Linked DNA regions of Danio rerio. The protein of the gene in region 1 binds, or shares a complex with, the protein of each later gene. Links are inferred from orthologs where the notes say so. Each region holds a gene or a part of one and is shown on either strand. Other genes may lie near its edges. The genes, in order: rnaseh2a, rnaseh2b and rnaseh2c.

Evidence for each region.
Region 2: the proteins of rnaseh2a (region 1) and rnaseh2b are in contact, whole or in part, in a crystal structure (PDB 3PUF), measured with the Homo sapiens proteins. The link is inferred for Danio rerio from reciprocal best matches to the Homo sapiens genes RNASEH2A and RNASEH2B. Residues at the interface, in NP_006388.2 of Homo sapiens: Val227, Phe228, Ile253, Trp254, Glu255, Ser284, His285, Tyr287, Phe288, Arg291, Gly292, Leu293, Glu294, Ser295, Ala296, Thr297, Ser298, Leu299; in NP_078846.2 of Homo sapiens: His16, Phe18, Lys39, Asn42, Gly48, Ala49, Ile50, Val63, Lys64, Val65, Phe66, Lys67, His70, Phe74, Val79, His86, Phe87, Val183, Tyr211, Gly214, Leu215, Asp218, Tyr219.
Region 3: the proteins of rnaseh2a (region 1) and rnaseh2c are in contact, whole or in part, in a crystal structure (PDB 3PUF), measured with the Homo sapiens proteins. The link is inferred for Danio rerio from reciprocal best matches to the Homo sapiens genes RNASEH2A and RNASEH2C. Residues at the interface, in NP_006388.2 of Homo sapiens: Thr11, Asn99, Ser102, Thr103, Leu106, Gly107, Arg108, Val109, Val196, Glu197, Lys198, Leu199, Glu225, Pro226, Val227, Phe228, Gly229, Phe230, Pro231, Gln232, Phe236, Leu245, Ala249, Glu250, Asp251, Val252, Ile253, Trp254, Glu255, Asp256; in NP_115569.2 of Homo sapiens: Pro33, Cys34, Glu35, Val36, Ala37, Val38, Ala42, Pro43, Val44, Gly45, Arg46, Phe47, Phe48, Pro50, Ala51, Arg53, Ser62, Phe63, Arg64, Gly65, Arg66, Cys67, Leu68, Leu134, Glu135, Thr136, Lys143, Gly146, Ala147, Thr149.

The regions. Positions count from the first base shown.
Region 1 is NC_133176.1:55,039,206-55,045,458, reverse strand, and holds the start of rnaseh2a (ribonuclease H2 subunit A), read left to right. Parts: upstream 1-1,891; 5' UTR 1,892-1,936; intron 1,937-3,247; 5' UTR 3,248-3,249; coding exon of another isoform or gene 3,250-3,376; intron 3,377-3,455; coding exon of another isoform or gene 3,456-3,527; 5' UTR 3,528-3,554; intron 3,555-3,816; 5' UTR 3,817-3,982; coding exon of another isoform or gene 3,983-4,083; coding exon 4,084-4,109; intron 4,110-4,292; exon of another isoform or gene 4,293-4,650; intron 4,651-5,123; exon of another isoform or gene 5,124-5,807; coding exon 5,808-5,895; exon of another isoform or gene 5,896-5,970; coding exon 5,971-6,108; exon of another isoform or gene 6,109-6,113; intron 6,114-6,253. UniProt on the Homo sapiens protein: Catalytic subunit of RNase HII, an endonuclease that specifically degrades the RNA of RNA:DNA hybrids. Participates in DNA replication, possibly by mediating the removal of lagging-strand Okazaki fragment RNA primers during DNA replication.
Region 2 is NC_133184.1:31,342,024-31,348,480, forward strand, and holds the start of rnaseh2b (ribonuclease H2 subunit B), read left to right. Parts: upstream 1-2,959; 5' UTR 2,960-3,084; intron 3,085-3,875; 5' UTR 3,876-3,947; intron 3,948-4,058; 5' UTR 4,059-4,166; intron 4,167-6,457. UniProt on the Homo sapiens protein: Non catalytic subunit of RNase H2, an endonuclease that specifically degrades the RNA of RNA:DNA hybrids. Participates in DNA replication, possibly by mediating the removal of lagging-strand Okazaki fragment RNA primers during DNA replication.
Region 3 is NC_133189.1:40,010,016-40,016,279, forward strand, and holds the start of rnaseh2c (ribonuclease H2 subunit C), read right to left. Parts: upstream 4,327-6,264; 5' UTR 4,040-4,326; coding exon 4,037-4,039; intron 868-4,036; coding exon 714-867; intron 630-713; coding exon 517-629; intron 432-516; coding exon 312-431; intron 21-311; coding exon 1-20.

The DNA.
Region 1 (6,253 bases):
AGGGCTTTACTATAAAAGTCTCGTTCAGCAATTATAATATCAAGTTTCTGGAAATGTGAGAGGAGAAGCAATGCATATGAAGAATGCATGATGCTTTTAGATATCAAAATGAGTAATATACACAATATCTGCGTTTAGCCTCGCGAGCTAAAGCAAGTTCAAGTGGGATGATGTTACATAAAAGTAGCATAATGCGAATCATATAACGTATACTACTTAAAGTGAACGCATGCATGATATATAATAATAATAATATATGCATTAATATATTTCACTCCGTTATCAAGTGTAACTTAAATCCAACATATAAAAATGACGCCGGCGTTTCACACGCGCTCTTTTGTTCTGTAGTACTCAACAAAACTACTCATTAAGCATTTGTACATTTATATAAACGTTCAAAATGTGCAGATTAAAGTTAATATATCCGTATTTAAAACCTACCTGTTCTGTGTGGACGAGAAAGTTCTCTTTGCCTTGATGCACGCGCACAGGAAGTGGCAACCGCGCGACCTGCTCTAAAACCAGCGAGCAGCGGCTCTACGTAAGAAGAGGGGGGAGCGACGTGGTTCACGGCACCGCCCACTTTTTGGCTTAATTATTTTTTTCAAAAATAATTTTTTCTGCTCCTTACTTTGTAAAATATTAAACTAATAAAATACAAAGACATTTATTTTAGTATGTATATAATTTGTAAACAAAAAGGCTTTGAAGCTTTGAAAACCTTAAACCTAATATAAAAAAAATAATAATTATTATATTTTTAAATAAATTAAATGATCAAAATTCATTATTATTATTAGTATTGTAATTTATTTGTAATTGTGCTTTGCACTTTTATTTTCCTATATTTATTGTAAGCCTATGAAGGACGAAACCTGCAAAAACAATAAAAAATAAATAATAAATAGGGCGTCACAGTCAATTAAATTAATTAATTAATTAATCCACGAATTCATGCATGAATTAAACAATAAATAAATATGCATATATATATATATATATATATATATATATATATATATATATATATATATATATATATATATATATATATATATATATATATATATATTTGCGTATTTATTTGTTTATTGTTTTATTTATGCAGGGATTTGTGTATTTTTTTAGTCATTTAATTATTTATTTGCGTATTTATTTATTTATTGTTTCGTTTATACAGGTATTTGTGTATTTATTTATTCATATATTTATTTATTTGTGTATTTATTTATTGTTTCATTTATGCAGGATTTTGTGTATTTGCTTATTCATTTTTTTATTAATTTGCATATTTATTTATTTATAAGTTGTTTATTTATGCAGGAATTTGTGTATTCGTTCATTTATTTGCATGTTTCTTCATTCATTGTTTTTGTAGGTTTCGTCCTCCATAATTTCAAAGCAGGATTAAAATATATTTAAAAATTCACCACATTTTGCTTATAAATATATATTTGGTATGTTGTTTTTTGTTCTTGTCCATGGTGAAGTATAGTTCATTTATTATTTTTTTTTTAGTCAAGCTTCACCTCCACAACATAAACTAATAGCACAAAAATCAACCGAATTCTGCTTTTCAACACATACATACATACATACATACATACATACATACATACATACATACATACATACATACATACATACATACATACATACATATACGAAGTCGACAAAATAAAAAATATTTGAACTCCATTTCCCACAAGCCCTTGCGACGTTGAGTTGAGGAGGCATACAGTTAAACGCGTTCACTTCATGATTTTGAACATTACACGATTTTTGTGTGTGTGTTACAGAATGTCTTGCATTTATCAATGAATTAACAAATACGTTCGTTTCTTTTTAATATTGTCGGTCAAAGGTCACGCTGTACCGTCAGACTCGCGCCAATTCTGTAGTTCCGGTTGAAGCGCGCTGCACACACATTCAGGTTCGTCCAACTTGTTTATGCTTCTGTTTACAATCACTTTTACGATTAAGCTAATTGTTCTAGAATGTATTTGTGTACACTTCAAGTTAGCATTTAAGAGTAAAACCGCATGTACTCACTACTCATTGTTCGCACAATATTTGTATTATTTATGTATATAACGTTGTTCCAGAGATGGGTTGCAGCTGGACGGGCATCAGCTACGTTAAACATATACAAGATACGTTGGCGGTTCATTCCGCTGTGGTAACCCCAGATTAATAAAACGATCCAAGCCGAAAAGAAAATAAATGAATGAATGAATGAATGAATGTATATAACGTTATCTCTCAGTAATCAGATCATATATTGTTAACAGTCATCTATGATGTACTGTACTGTTTTATATTGTGTTTTAAATGAACGATATAAGTTCTAGATAAGTTTAAATGCTTAGAGAGTTTCTCTGTCAAACACTAGGTTACTTCATTCATTATAACTTTAGGATTTATACAAGTTCAAGAAAATAAATAATGGAAATACGACACGTAAGTTTAATGGTTAGCTTTAAGTTTATTTTAGCACTTTATTGAACCTCCTTCAAAATATTGTTCATATTTTATAATTTTAGAATATTGCTTTAATTTTCTTTCCTTTAAATATTATTTAAATAGCACTCTAAAAGGTGCCTTTCAAGATAAGCTTCATTGATTTTCTTCAACTTGGTCCCTTTATTCATCAAGGGTCACCACAGCGGAATAAACCGCCAACTTATCCAGCAGAATTATTAGCACCTTCCTTTTTAAGAAATGTCCCAAATTATGTTTAACAGAGCAAGGAAATTTTCACAGTATGTCTGATATTATTTTTTTCTTCTGGAGAAAGTCTTATTTGTTTTATTTCGGCTAGAATAAAAGCAGTTTTTAAAAAAAAAATTAAGTTCAAAATTATTAGCCTTCCTAAGCTATATTTTTTCGATAGTCTACAGAACAAACCATCGTTATACAATACCTTGCCTAATTACCCTAACCTGCCTAGTTAACCTAATTAACCTAGTTAAGCCTTTAAATGTCACTTTAAGCTGCATAGAAATGTCTTGAAAAATATCAAGTCAAATATTATTTACTTTTTGTCATCATCATGGCAAAGATAAAATAAATCAGTTAATAGAGATGAGTTATTAAAACTATTATGTTTAGAAATGTGTTAAAGAAATCTTTTCTCCGTTAAACAGAAATTAAGGAAAAAAATAAACAGGAGGGCTAATAATTCTGTCTTCAACTGTATATACTGATCTAACATGTTTTAAAATGATATTCACTGTTTTATTAGTGATGGATCTGAGTGATTTTGAGGCGGACAACTCTGTGAGCTGCCGCTTGTCTTCATCTATCCCAGACTTGTGTAAGACAGAGGACTGCTGCCTGGGCATCGATGAGGCGGGCAGGGGACCCGTATTAGGTGAGAGTCATCTTCACTGGAAAAAAGCTCATATCCGATTGAAACTGGAGTGTGCATTAAATATGTTACTATTTTCCAGGACCCATGGTGTACGGCATATGCTTCTGCCCTGTATCCAGAAAAGAAGACCTAAAGAATTTAAAAGTGGCAGGTTGGTCTGAATTATTCAGCATGTTTTGTTACAGGGTGACATGGTGGCTCAGTGGTTAGCACCGTTACCTCACAGCAAGAAGGTCGCTGGTTTGAGTACCAGCTGTGCCAGTTGGCATTTCTGTGTGGAGTTTCCAAGTTCTCCCCGTGTTGGCGTAGGTTTCCTCCAGGAGCCTCCACAGTCCAAAGTCATGCGCTATAGGTGAATAGGGTAAACTAAATTTGCTTAAGTGTATGAGTGTGTGTGTGTGAATGAGTGTGCATGGGTGTTTTCCAGTACTGGGTTACAGCTGAAAGGGCATCCACTGTGTGAAACATATGCCGGAATAGTTGGTGATTCATTCCGCTGTGGCGACCCCTGATGAATAAAGAGACTAAGCCAAAGGAAAATGAATGAATGGATATTTTGTTAGAGAGCATGTGTGTAAATCTTCAGTATATTTGTTGTCTATTTAGACTCAAAGACGCTGACGGAGGCTGAGCGAGAGAACCTGTTTGTGAAGCTCGATGAGGCCAAAAGTTTCGTAGGCTGGGCCCTTCAGATCCTCTCGCCCAACATGATTTCCACCAGCATGCTACAAAGGTACCAGCATGCTAGATTTCAGTGAAGAGAAGGCTAGTGTGATGTTATGTCAGATTAAATCAGCACAAAACAAACATTTTTGGTGTACAAAACTGCTTGTCAAAGCATAGTTTCCACAACATTTCGCTCTGGTTGGTAAACTCCTTCAAACTACGACTAGTAAAGCAGGTTTTCAGTCCACTTGAAATCAAAATTTACTTTATTTACTAGCTCACATTGTTATTCCTAAAGTCTGCATGAATTGGAAGCTGCGGCTGTCTTTTTTTTCATATAGTGATGCAGTTCCTACAGAAACGGAATAATAAATGAGACAACAGTGGGCGTGGCTTGTTTTCTTTTTCTACTCATGGCTAATTGGATGTCTTAAAGTAGGCATTTCATTCAGAAAGAAAAGGAAAAGGGTTTTGGGAGAGTTATTACAGCCTAACAAACTCCTCCTGCTCACCATTTCTGTTTGTTGTCAAATCTGACAGCTGGAGGGGCGTGGTTAAGTATGTTAGTCAGGCCCAATACCTCAGACAGACTTAATGTGAGAATTCAACTGAAAACAAACAGGAAGTGCATTTTTAGATTTCAATTTTAGAAACAAACGCAAATAATTTTATTTTCTTATTGCTATGCACTGATAAATTGTTCAACACAGAACTAGCAATGCGAGTTAACAAAATCAACATGGTTAGTTTTGATGTGTACGTTAAGGTGAATAGATAATCTGTGCAAGTTAAGCCACTGAAAAAAATGATAAAATTCAATGCTGATTTGCTTTCGCTTTTGAGTGGCGGTTCTTCTGTTGACATCAACCTGGGGGCTCCCATAGCAACTGTACATGAATACCCTCTAATACGATATATAATGGTAATAATCAAAGAAATCCACATATGCAACGAAAACTAAACTAATTAGTTTACAAATTAAGTTAAGTGTAATAAAATGAAAGGACGCAGAGGAAAAGTATTGAACACACGAAGAAAGGAAGGTGTTGAAAAGCATGGAAAGCCCAGACAGCTGCTGAAATCTCTTTTTTTTCTCTAGTTTATTAGCAACCATCGTCAGTGTAAATGAATATTCGCTGCTTCAGTCCAACATCTACATTAGCAGATGATGAAGATGAAACCAGGGTGGACATTTCAGCAAAACAATGATCCAAAACACAGCCAAGGAGACTCGCAAATGCTTTCAGAGAAAGAAAATAAAACTGTGGAATGGCCTAGCCAATCACCTGACTTGAATCCAATAGAGAATACAAAATAAAGATCAAAATTAATAGACGAGACCCACAGAACCATCAATATTTTTATACTCTGTTGAAGTCTGTGAAAAACTCATGCCTGAGCAATTCATGTGACTTCATTCTCCATATGAGAGGCGTCTTTAAGCTGCCATCACCAACAAAAGCCTTTTATATAAAGTGTTAAATACGTTTTAATAGTTCAGTAATTTCTCCTTGTGTCATTCCATTGTTATTACACAAAATATTTCAGATTTTTTTTTTGTCTGTTTCTTTTTATGTTAACATTGTTCTGGTTTTTATCGTAATCTGGTTCAATTCCATGTCAAAAGCTCCTTTAGAAATGTTATTTCCAGGAAACAAACATGACATGTTCAGTACTTATTTTCCTCGCTGTATAGAATATAGAATAAAAAAAAATAGCTGCAAGTATATCTGACATCAAGGTTTTGTTGTTATTATTTTTTCAGAGCAAAATACAATCTGAATGCCCTTTCACACGATGCAGCGATTGGCCTGGTGCAGTATGCTCTGGATTCTGGGGTGCAGCTCAAAGAGGTGATTGAGACAAAGCAAACCTGCATGATAAACCGCAGAAATGGCCCATAATGACGAGTCTGTTTTTCCTCTCAGGTGTTTGTGGACACTGTGGGTCCAGCAGAGAAGTATCAGGACAAGCTGTCGCAACGGTTCCCCGGTGTGGAGGTCACAGTCCGTCCCAAAGCTGATTCCTTATTCCCAATCGTCAGCGCTGCCAGCATCTGTGCAAAGGTAATCTGCCCATCAGAGGTGGAGAAAACGGGAGTGTTAGTTATTAAAGGTCCAGTAAAGTGAAATGTGCATTTTTTAATTCAAAATTTGCTGTAATCACATCTGAAAAAAGCATAGAGTGGGAACCATAGGTGTTTTTCTTTAT
Region 2 (6,457 bases), on another chromosome or scaffold:
GGTGGAAGAGAAAAGATCATTGGATTAGTTCAGTGTAGAGTATGTTAGACTAATAAATATATGTCAGTCAGAACAATATTTCATTATTAATATTGGTAAGACTTATTTTGATGGTCCCTATTGCACACTGTGTTGACAAAAAGTTGCATTGCAGCTACATGCCAATTAATCTGCTTAATATTAGCTGACACTGCTCCTTCAACAGACATTTAACTGACTGAGAAACTTTGCAAGTACATGTCAACTTACAATACCCTAACCCCAATCTAACAGTTTACTAATAATCTATTGAGAATTAGTTGTTGATGCAATGTAACATTTAACTAAATGCGTTAAAGGGACCATCAGAATAATGTGATTCCCTATTGCTAATATTTGGATATTAGTCAGAAAAATAATAATTGTGTTGTGTTTATTATGTGGTATTTAATTTTTTTAAGGTAGATTAAAAATTCTACTTGTGAGAATATTTTAAAACATTATTCCATCATGACATAAAGCAAATTAAATTGATATTCAGTGTTTGTGAATTATGTTTAAATGTTACATATCCACCTTTCCCTCCTTGTGATGGTTTATTTCTCCAGCTGGGATGTCCTAGAGCCCCTCCTCCACCTCCAGCATGTCCTTGCTCAGCAGACCTTGGTTGACCTGAATACCTCAGACTTATGGCAGAACAGGGGACCCTGGTTCTTAATCAGCAACACTTGAATGCCCACGCATAGAATGTGTCAGTGCATGTCCTGCTTAGTTATTTTAATGAGTGACAAAAGTGCTAAAAGACGTATTTTCCCACAATGAGAGATGAAGTGAGAGTTGAAGACAAAGGGAGTCATTAAATGTTAAGATGGGTCACATTCTAGCCAACAGCAGACAGATTGACAACAGTTATTAATAAGATCCTGAAAATAAAGAAAACGAAAACTGAATCTGTGTAAGCAACAATAAAGTGTCAACAGTTCACAAGTATGCTGAAATGCTTACACTAATTTATTGACCTTATGTAAACAATGTTTCTATTCCGACTATTTTCAGTAGCATCTGGTCTACATGTAGGCTACTTTATCTTACTCTTACTTTTTCTTGCCTATTTCCTGCAGGTTGTTTGATACTCGTGTACACTCACAGTCGAACAAATTAAGCCTTTTAGTGACCGAGATGAGAAGCGTTATGTATTTGAAGAATATTAAGAAGTGTAATATAGTGATGAGGTAAGACTTAATAAGCAGCGCTATATAAGGTGAAAGTAAAAACTATTCTGTCTGAGGGCGTCTCTTCGTCCATTTCCAAGATACTGGCGCCATCTTGAGGTAATTGACAGGAACATCAATTTTCTATAATATTTAGTTCTATATGAGTTTTGGGGTATTTTCAGATCTAATCTAGGAGTACAATATATCTCTGTCTCAGATTATATGGTCTAAATATATATTATATTGTATTAATTAATAACTGAATTGATTGTTAAAAACACATTTGGTCAAGGAAGAGAACTAAAATGTTGGGATAGTCCCTTGTTTATCTGTGAGAAACTTTAATTTTTTTCACCAGAAATAGAATAGCATTTAGGCTGTTTAAACCTTATCAATTGCAAATTTAAAGTTGATCCTTAACTTAAATCTAAACCTAAGTGATGAAACAATAAGATTGTAGCCTAGTTAATCCAGGTTTATTGTGAAATAAAGTCCAGGATCAAACATTTGGTATAATTGTAAACCACATGCCTCATATTTAGGCAACATAATTCTTAGATAAACTTTGATTTAATCCAGATTTTAGATTAATACTGCTGATGGATCACAACCTGACAATGTGAATAAAATGCTTTGTAAATAAATATTATCATACTGTGCAAGAGACACCTGTACCCTATGCACCACTGGCAAAACCTGACAAGATCCTGGGGCCGCTTGAAGTGCTGGAACTAAGCAGACACCTCAAGACTTGTCTCTGAGTTTTTTTAAACATCCTTCCTAATATTGTGTGTCTTCCCTCTCAGTGCACATGTAGGCTATGTGTGTACCAATAATACACACATTAGTTATTTAAGCTGTATAATAAATGTGTCATGTAAATGTTTACAGTAGGCTATATCACAACAAAAGAGAACAGCTTTGCATCTTGTTTTTTATGTTTGGGTAGAAGTTTATCACAAACGATTCTTTTTTAAATATTTGTAGCTGGTGGTGTTGCACAATTCCCCCAGACAACAAAAATAGGCCACAAAGAAAAATGTACTATAAACTATTTGTCATATAAATAAATACATGAAGAAGTCCACAGACATATTTATGCACGTAGATAACTGCAGCCTAATGAACCTGCTGTGAGTTTGATTTGTATCATAATAGGCCTGTCAATGCAATAAAATTAGGGTACTCACCAATCAGGTCTGAATAGCTTTTATAACTTCACTAATCTATAAATCCATGCTATAAATAGCTATAAATGTAGAAATTTTATTTATACAGTGAAGTCTATACAGTGTTGTTTTACATTAGATTAGGTCGTTCATTTTCAGTACTGATACTGAAATACTGTACACTAAACTCAACACCTTACCTTTTAATGGTTTAAATGGTAACAAGAACAACACTCTTTAACAATAATAATTTAACACAAAAAAGAAGAATCAGTTGATTAAAATGGAAGACCTGAAGGCTGCCTGGTGCTTTTAATGACCCGCTATGTCTTTAAGGAATACTGAGAGACCGTACCATTTGGAGAGAAGGGTGAACACGGTGCACTCGATATTTCTTTAGAGGTGCCATTCTCCACTCCCGTTCTTAAAAAACATAACATCTGATTTATTCGCAATATATTATTAAGGAATGTATAATATTGTGCAGCACTACCTAAACAAACCCTAGAATAAAACTTGAAGTCGAGTACTTACCCCTGCTTATGTGTAACTCAAAGATTTGCCGCCATTTTTCTGAAGGCACAACATTCACTCGTCGCATTTATACACAGCGGACAACTTGTTTTTACAGTTTAACTTTTAAAACTAGTTATTTGAAATGACTTCTAAAAAGAAACGGTCTGCACACACCGAGAGCGACAGTTGGGTTGTCATTGCTCCAGGTATCTAACATTTGCTACGTTTAACGTTAGTTACTCTGTGTTGCTGTTGCATGTTCACACATGTCCCTACATGCATTGTATACTAAACTTATATAACGTTACTGATGTTATAAACAGTCTTCAGTTCACATCCTAATACACTGAGGACTCGTTATGAAAATGTATTTATCTTTATGCTCTATGTTTAACCGTTAGTTACATTCAATATTTTAAATGTTTAAAAAATGAGCTTTTCCTGCTTACCAAGACTGCATTTGTTGAATACAGTAAAAATTGTGTAATGTTAATGCACTATAAAATAACTGTGCAAAAACAGTTTATCATTTAAATTAATAATTTATTCCAGTGATTTTAAAGATTAATTTTCAGCTTCATTACTCCAGTCTTCGGGTCCTTCAGAAATCACTCTAATAGTAATTATTAGTAGTAGTGCATATAGTGTATGTATAACGTTATTACGTTACCATTTACTACCTTTTAATTTTCTGAGAATTTCTCTCCTCTACTTAGCATAAGATATTTTGAAAATGTGCTCAATCGAACAACTTCTGGTCTCCATTGACCCCCATGGTATTTTAATTATACCATGTAACTGCAACCTTTTGTTTTGGCCACATTCTTCAAAATATGTTTTTGTTTTCAGAATTAGTTTTTTCGATAAGTAAATGACAACAAAATTTTCATTTATTTTGAGTAAACTATCCCTTTAACCACCAACATCTACATTAAGTTTAGTTATGAATTTTATTAATCCACTTATATTTTCCTTCTGTGACTTCCCTTTTTTTCAGATTCAGCACTAGACACTGGCAGGTCTGTCGACAGTGATCCTTCCTTCATCAAACTGAAGAATCCTTCTACAGGTGGCCTTTTGACTCAGTGCACTCATTTACTGCAACTGATGGTTTAGAGATGACGTGGATCAGCTATATGAACCTTAACTAACTGACAGTTCTGTCGTTGTCTGAGTTCAGGTAGTTCTTCGCTGTACCTGTTTGGCTGTGGAGATTTGAGTGTTTATGAAGTAAAAGCTTTTTCTGAAGACTTCCGGTCTTGGTTTATTGGACAGACAGTGCAAAGAGGTAAGCTCACACTACAGAGAGTGAATCGTCCATTAATAGGATAGTTCACACAAAAATAAAAATTCTGTCATAATTTATTCACAATCTATTTCAAACCTGTTTCAGTTTCTGATAGTAGGACTGCATGATATTGGAAATATTTTACATTGTAATATTTTTTTGTTCTGTGATATACAGTAAAAGTTAGAATTATTGGCTCACTGTTTATTTTTTCCCCAATTTCTGTTAAATGGAGAGATTTTTTTAACGCATTTCCAAACATAATAGTTTTAATAACTCATCTCTAATAACAGATTTTTAACTGATTTTTTTGCCATGATGACAAAAGATAGATATTTTTCAAGACACTTCTAAACAGTTTAAATTAACATTTTTAGGTTAACAAGGCAGGTTAGGGTAATTAGGCAAGTTAATGTATAACTATGGTTTGTTCTGTAGACCAGGGGTTCCCAAACTTTACAACCCGCGACCCCCAAAATAATGATGTCAGTGATTTGGTACCCCCATTTTTCAAGGTGGTTATACTTTAAAAATACACAACTATAGGCATAAAAAACATGAGCATATTGACAACATACAAATGCAACAGTCTAATAACCGTATAATGTTTTTTGTAGTCATTCATTAATTTAATTCAAACATAAAAAAATTAAAGGCTGATGGCTGATTTTTGTTTGTATGTTGTTGTTGTTGTGTCTTTAACATAACTATTAACTATCTTCTGTGGGTTATGAATAAAATATGGTAATTCTAATAGTTTACTCAAATGTATTTGAGTTTTGGAAATCACTAAGCGACCCCTTTTCATTGTCCCGCGACCCCTCAAGGGGTCCCGACCACCACTTTGAGAACCACTGCTGTAGACTATCGAAAAAAATTGCTTAAAGGGGCTAATAATGTTGACCTTAAAATAGTGTTTAAAAAAAAACTGCTTTTATTTTAGCCTAAATAAAACAAATAAGACTTTCTCCAGAAGAAAAAATATTATCAGACATACTGTGACAACCCCCTTGCTCTGTTAAACATCATTTGAGAAATATTTGAAAAAAAAAAAAAAATTCAGTGGGGGGTAATAATTCTGACTTCAACTGTACATTGCGATATGAATACAATTTCATGAGATGACTTGAATAGCTATTTGGAAATAATTTATAATTTTAGATTCTGTTGGGGAGTACATAATGTATAATAAACAATCTACAAGTTTAAATAAACTCAATAAAAAAGAAACAAATGAAAAAAATAGCCAGTTTTATTGTTTTCTGATGAGTCGAACTGTATTCAGGTATAAAGTAATTGAATAATAAATTGTAAAATAATACTGCATAGTCTTCGTTTTAAACAATTCAATAAAATGTATTGTTGTTAATTTGTCAAAGTTACAAATGGTAATTTGATTTATTTATTTAGAACAGAAAAATCATACATAAAACAATTCTTTAAACAAAAACACATTTCAACATGGTCAAAATGGAGCAGGATGAAGCACAAGCTTATTATTTTCCCACCCCATTACCACACACGTCATTCGTCTATTACTTCATCTTGTTTCTTCTTTTACTTATCTCTTCTTTTTACATGAGACATATGAGCTTTAAATGAAACATATTTTATCCTTTTGGCATCTTTGACATGATAATTGTTTAATTTCATTTGTACATTCACATTTTGTAACATACACTCAAAAATACAAAGTGTTGCAAACAGCCATGAATTGAAATAGCATCATACCTTTCTATTTTTTTCTTTTTCAATCACCTCTATTCATCATAATCTTCCTTTAATAATATATATTTATACAACTTTTCGAATTGATTATTATCCTGACATTGTTTGAGAATCTGTTCCAGACTGTTCCATAATTTCACACCACATACACACATACACCATTCTTTTAAAGGTTGTCCTTGTTTTCAACCTCTTAAAATGTTGTTCTTCTCTCAGATTATATCCCCCTTGTCTTAATTCAGAAAACTTTTGTATGCATTTCGGAAGTAATTTATTCCTAGCTTTAAACAGAAATTGTGCTGTTTTAACTTTAACCAAATCATTGAACTTAAGTATCTTTAATAAAAAAAAAAAAAGGATTTTTATGCTACAAATACCCCACATTTTTGATCAGTCTAATTCCTTTTGTACAATGCAGAAAAAGAATCGTAAATTAGATGTATATTAAATACAATAACTCATATGGCAACATAAGTGTGTTACAATACAATTACATTATATTTACATACAATTATAATACATACATTTATTTATTATCCAGGATAAATCTTGCTTCATACACT
Region 3 (6,264 bases), on another chromosome or scaffold:
TCATCCACTGGTCCATGTATCTGCAGGAAGAGGTATTGATTTAAGTTAATGCAGGTGCCCAAACTCAGAGGGCCGGTGTCCTGCAAAGTTTAGTTCCAAACCCAGTTAGACACACCTGAACCATTTAATCAAGCTCTTTCTAGGTATCAAGCAGGTGTGTTGAAGAAAGTAAACTATTCAGGACACCAACCCTTCAGGACCAAGTTTGAGCATCCCTGCTTTAGAGAATTTGAATTGGCAGAAAATGTGTTTATTACATTATTATCTGCTGTGTTAATGACAATAAATAAGTGCTTCAGAAAGTAACTCACCGCCTCTGCTAACTCTGGCCATGCCATCGCCATCACAACTCCGTCATCAGATGTGGGAGGCGTCTCCAAATTCCAGTATGTGAAATGATGAAACACTGAAGAAACTTTTACTACTCTGTCCTGGAAACAATTGTTAGAAATCATTAAAGATGTGTTTCCTAGAAAGTAGACATCTAACATTTAAACATGTTTGATTTGCAGGCACCTCTTGATCAGATGCCGGCTTCTGGACCTCTTTCAGCACCACTCCTGTGTATCCTTGTGGGCATTGCAACTCCTGACCCTTCAGCCCTCGGCCTCTGAATGATACTGTGGTTTCTGCCAAACACAATGTTATCTTTATCGGGTGGAGTGCTAAAACTTGAGTTGTAGTCTCGAGGTGTGTGCTGGTGTTTGACTAACCATGTTTGCGTTCCTTCACTGTGGGATTAAAGAACTTGAAGACTTCGGCGGGTCCGTCATGCTCTACTTCACAAGGTAACAGGTGGATCTGTGGTTTGTCAGCTTGTTTGATGGAATCACGTCGGATGGATGTCACACAACTATTTGCCGTCATCTAGTAAAACAAACTTGTTATTAGGATTTCAAGTATTTTATGCGAGAGTGATACCAGGCAGTCCACATGTGGCTTTGTGCACTTATGAACATGTTTTGTTGTTATAATGGTTCAAGTTAATTGAAGTAAAGTTGGTTTTATAGACCATTTTGAGGCATGTAAACAAAAACAATGGTCCTGTTTCCTGCTTTACATTTTTAATTTCTATAGCTTCGAGAATCCAAAAAGAGCCACATATTGATAATGTCATGATAGCTGTTTTACATTAAGGTATGATTGAATTGCCTCTTGTTACAGTGATGAAATAGTCTGAAAACCAGCAGGAAATATTCATGAGCCAATGACATCACTACATTGAAATGGTCAATACACATCAGGGCTAAACAATAAGGACTGCCCGGTGGCCCAGGGCCGCCGTGAGAGACACTTGGGACAGTAGACCGGATCATTAATGGCCCGATTGGGACAGTGCTGCCTTGTCACTAATATTTAATTTGTCTGTGACTATTTGTCAATTGCATGCATTTTAAGTTTGTGCTTTTAAATCTTTAAATGCTACCTTCTCTGTAATGTCGTAAACAACATATTGCTTTCCGATTCGTCTTATCGGATTGATTTGACCATGCTATTTTTTTTTTGTAACCTGGTAACAACCAATACAGCGTAGAAACAGCAACATAGCGGCAACATCAAATTAAAAGGCTAAACGAAAATGTCTGTCTCTAACGTGTTGGAAGTAGACATTTACATGGAAACAACACGACAAAATAATAATGAAGTGATGTTATGCATAGTTTGCCATCACTTTGACATGTCAGCCACCTTTTTTTTTTTAATAATTTCAAACTGCAATAAAATGCCTCCACATTTTCCATACTGCTCTTTTTGTTTGCATAACACTTATATTTACAATTGTTTTTTAAGTATTGAAATTCTAGATTTACAGACTTTATTTTTGACACATTGTTTAAAATATGTGGTTAAAAATAGCTATTAACTTCCCTTTTTTTTGGTGGGGCCAGTGGAAATTTTGGCAGGGCAAGTAAAAATCTAAACCACTTGCCCGATCAGACCAGTAGAAAAAATCCTTAGCGTTGAACCCTGCACATTCTGACTTTCTCCTTAATAATTTCAGAAAATTAGCCTTTGCAATTTATAAATAGTGAAATTATATTAGCAGCCCACGATCAAAGTACAACATCAGTCCATAAAATAGTGCTAATGTTGTTTTGTAGTTGCACTTACATGAGATTTTAAACTGAATATTCAAAGTCTCATGGTAAACAAAATAGGGACCGTGTCAGAAGTTGACATTGAACCAATGTGCGGAAATAAAACCTACTTTACCTCAATTTCAAGTTTCAATATATGTGCTATAAATTGATATACACATTTGTTGTATTTTGGCTTTGACATTAGTGCTTAATGTACACAAAAGCCTATGCAAAGCTGTTCAATGGCAGATTGCATTTTAACAATGTCCCAAGACTAACAAAATCCAAACCTTTTCTCTAAATGTTTTACTGAGAGCAGTCTAAAATAAGACACGAAGGCCAGGTGAACAATCATTAAGTATTAAAATAAATATATACAGTTTAGTTATTGAAAGCTATTATAAAGTTAAACTTAAAGAGTGATACTGTGTTTCAAACAATAAAATCTACTCTGAAAAAGCTACTTATATCAACAACAAGAATGTTAAAAGTGTAATATATTATGGCAACAGAAGTTTTTCATCTAGAACAAATGCGGTGATATATACATTTTAGGGCTCTGTAATTAATCAAACGGCAATCGAAATCAACATTCAGAATCTATAATGGATCAAATTCTTGATCCATGTCAATTTTTTTAATTACTTTTCTTACCACATGTGGAGTTTCGTGACCACGCTCTGTTAAGGCTGATTTATACTACTGTGTCGAGTACACAGGTATGGTCTGGCGCAGCCTTCGTGCAGTCGAATACCTGCGCACCTTTAAAAAATGTAACTGCACGTTTGCACTACATTGACAATGATTGGAAGCTTTGCCAGATTTGCCCTGAGATGGCTTATTCTCCTTTACAATAAAATTATTATTTACATTAAAAAATTTGTTTACAAAAGATTGAAGAATAGTGCTGTTTAAACTGTTATTCGCGACATATTCCAGTTATTTGATTTAGAAGAGATGCTGCTAAATTTCTACTTTAATATGAAAAACATTTTAAATCATTTATTTTGTTTCTAAAAGTTATTTATTGCAGACGCGGTGGTGCAGTAGGTAGTGCTGTCGCCTCGCAGCAAGAAGGTTGCTGGTTCGAGCCTCGTTTGGGTCAGTTGGCATTTCTGTGTGCTAAAATTGTATGGGTGTTTCTCAGTGATGTTTTGCAGCTGGAAGGGCATCCGCTGCGTAAAACATATGCTGGATATGTTGGCTGTTTATTCCGCTGTGGTGACCCCAGAATAATAAAGGGACTAAGCCGAAAAGAAAATGAAAGAATAAATTAAGTTATTTACTTACACTTTTATAGGAAAAAGTGACTCTTGGTTTTATGCAATGTATGTTTTCAATTTCAGTTGTTCAGCGATGATGTTCACCTTTCATTCAAAACTCTCTTATTTGTAATATGTGAGCATATTTACTGTACATACCTTGTCGGTGAACTGAGGGCATTACATTTTAATTAATAATTAACCTGTCATTTTTTTAACACCTTTTTTCCAGCTTTTCTTTTTTTTGCTTGTTTTATTATACAACAAAATCACGTTCTTTAACAAGAATTAAACGAGTAAAGACATTAAATTACAATAAAGGAACCAAGGAGAGGGTACGTAATAATAAAATTACATACAATCATTTCTCCAATTGTAGTTATTAACAGGAGTTATTAAATGCACTTCTACAACAGAAAATACATGTATACAAACATTATTTTTATACTTATAAATCACTTTTCCACACATATTAATGTCTTTTTTCTAGCAGAGAAGAGAGGCTGCTTCTGGCACAATTGGATTTGTGTATGTGAAACTTACAAAGTAAGTTCATTATAAAGCCATCATTTTTTATAGGGTGACCTTGACCATAATTATCCAAAACCACGTGTTTATAAGATAAGAAAAATTTTCAAAAGATATTTTGAGCAATAAAACCTTCAACATTAATACAAAGCAGCGATATCTTACCATGCTCGTCGTTTTAACACTGTTTATAAGTGTCACATGGGTCAGCTGCGTTTACTTTGATTGGACGCGATGCATTTCTTCGTCAACACGTTGTTCCTTTTCGCGGTAAAATCCATGGCCTTCTGCCACCTACCGTTTCGTAGTAGGTGTAGAGTTGATAATGACAGTGGTTTTTCATAAATATTATTAACCGGACGTTTATAAAAACAAAGAGCGACATATACACAAGCAATGATGTAATAACGTGGTAAATATTTGTTCGCAGCTCATTGTTTACAGGCGCCCTGCAAGTGCAACAGTCATTATAGTCCCACTAGGAACTGGGAAGGACTAGGAACTACATTTCTCTATGGCGAACGTGTTTTGGTCATGCCTTCACTATTCGATAGCATCTATAATGTTAGTTCAGTTAGATAAGTGATTGCACTATCTGTAGGGAAAATGGATGTAGTTCCGTGTTTAAAAGTGCCGCAGCGTCACGCACAAATGTACAGGTAGGCAGACAGCAAACTGTTGTTTTGCGTTGCATGTTTATGTAAGCAACATGTTAGTATCATGTTCTTGCGTTATAATATTCAACTTATATTTGAAATAAACTTGATATGTGTTATTTTTCTGTAAGCCTCTTTATGTCGATATTTAAAAGGTAATATTGATATTTGAAATTCTGAAGAGACAATATCAGTAGTTTATGGGACACCACCAGTCCCTGAAAATAAAAACATAAATATACAGTGAATAAAAAGTATTTCATCCCACAAAATTACTAGAATGGCCTGATGGTGGATTTCTTTGAGTTGTTCTGTAAAGGAATATGTCATTCATTAGGTTCTCAGATTTGTTTTCTTTACAGTACAGCTGTAATAGTTCTGTTATGATTAAAACTGTTATTTAGAAATAGGATATAGCACGTTTAAGTTGTTTTCATTCACATTGATTAATTAAAAACATGATATTATGAAAAAATTCTACAAATAAACATTATTAATGACGTTCTGTCATTGAATTGTATGATGTTTTTGTATGATTTTTTGAAGACGACAAGCTTATATCCGGCCCTGTCACCTTTTTTATTGTGAAAACTTACCTTTTTAAGTGAAAATATAAATTTCTGGTAGAATGTCCTTCATAAAGTAAAACAAAAATGAAAACTTACTCAAAACGCACACCTTTTAATGGAAAATCCAAAAAAAAAAAAAACTAACTTTCTTCCTGTGCTCTATATATTTTTACAATTGTCTGTGTTTATTTTAACAGCTTATTGTTGTATTAATGTGTTTACTGCTTTTCAGAAAATACTTAGAGTCACAAGGTGTTCTGGACCGTAGGTACGGTGCAGAGAAACACTCCGATGGCACTGTAACTCTTCCGGTTGTAGCATCTGCTTTGCCACAGCTTGATCTGGTGGCACTAAAGGAACATGTCGCACAGGACAGCTTTTGTGAAATTGTTGATATCCAGGTAAACATAAACTGATGTTTGCACCCAAATCACTGAACGTCTGAACTGCAAAATAAAATATATTCATTTTTTTAGGCTCAATTGTCAAAGAAGAGCAAAGTTAAGTCAGTCCATATGAAGCTTGTAGAGGCTGCACGGTCCTTTCTGCTTTCTAAAGGGAAAGAATGGAGTGAAGATCTAGGGAGAGACATTCCTGGCCGATGGCAGTGTCATGGAGATCTTGTGCTGTTTACTGAAGGCTGCTTCTCCAATGCAGTATGGAAAGAAATTGGTGTGTGATATTAAATCCCAAACCCACTATAGTTTCAGCGTTGTGTTCATATCCTCTGCACATATACATTTGTAATTATGTTCATATCCATCTGCATACCTTTGATTATTAATAGCAGCCTGTGCATATATTCATCTATTGTAAATCTCTGTTCATAGTTAATATAACCTTGATGTAATATTCATAGTACATTCATCTGTTAATAGCACCATAGTTTTTCTGTGCACTTTATTCCTATATCCTGCACTTGCTGCTATTGCACTCCTGGTTAGACCTAAACTGCATGTGTAATGACAATAAAGTTTAATCTAATCTAATATATAATAATAGTAATAATCTATGTCCTCTGTTAAAATTGATCTACTATGTCTGATTGCATGCACAATATATTTTGTTTGTTTTAGGGTCTGAATTCTGGACTGCAGTTGCGCTGACGCTCGGAGTTAAACGTATTGCACAAATTAAAAAGATTTCCCAGGATGGTTATCGAACACCT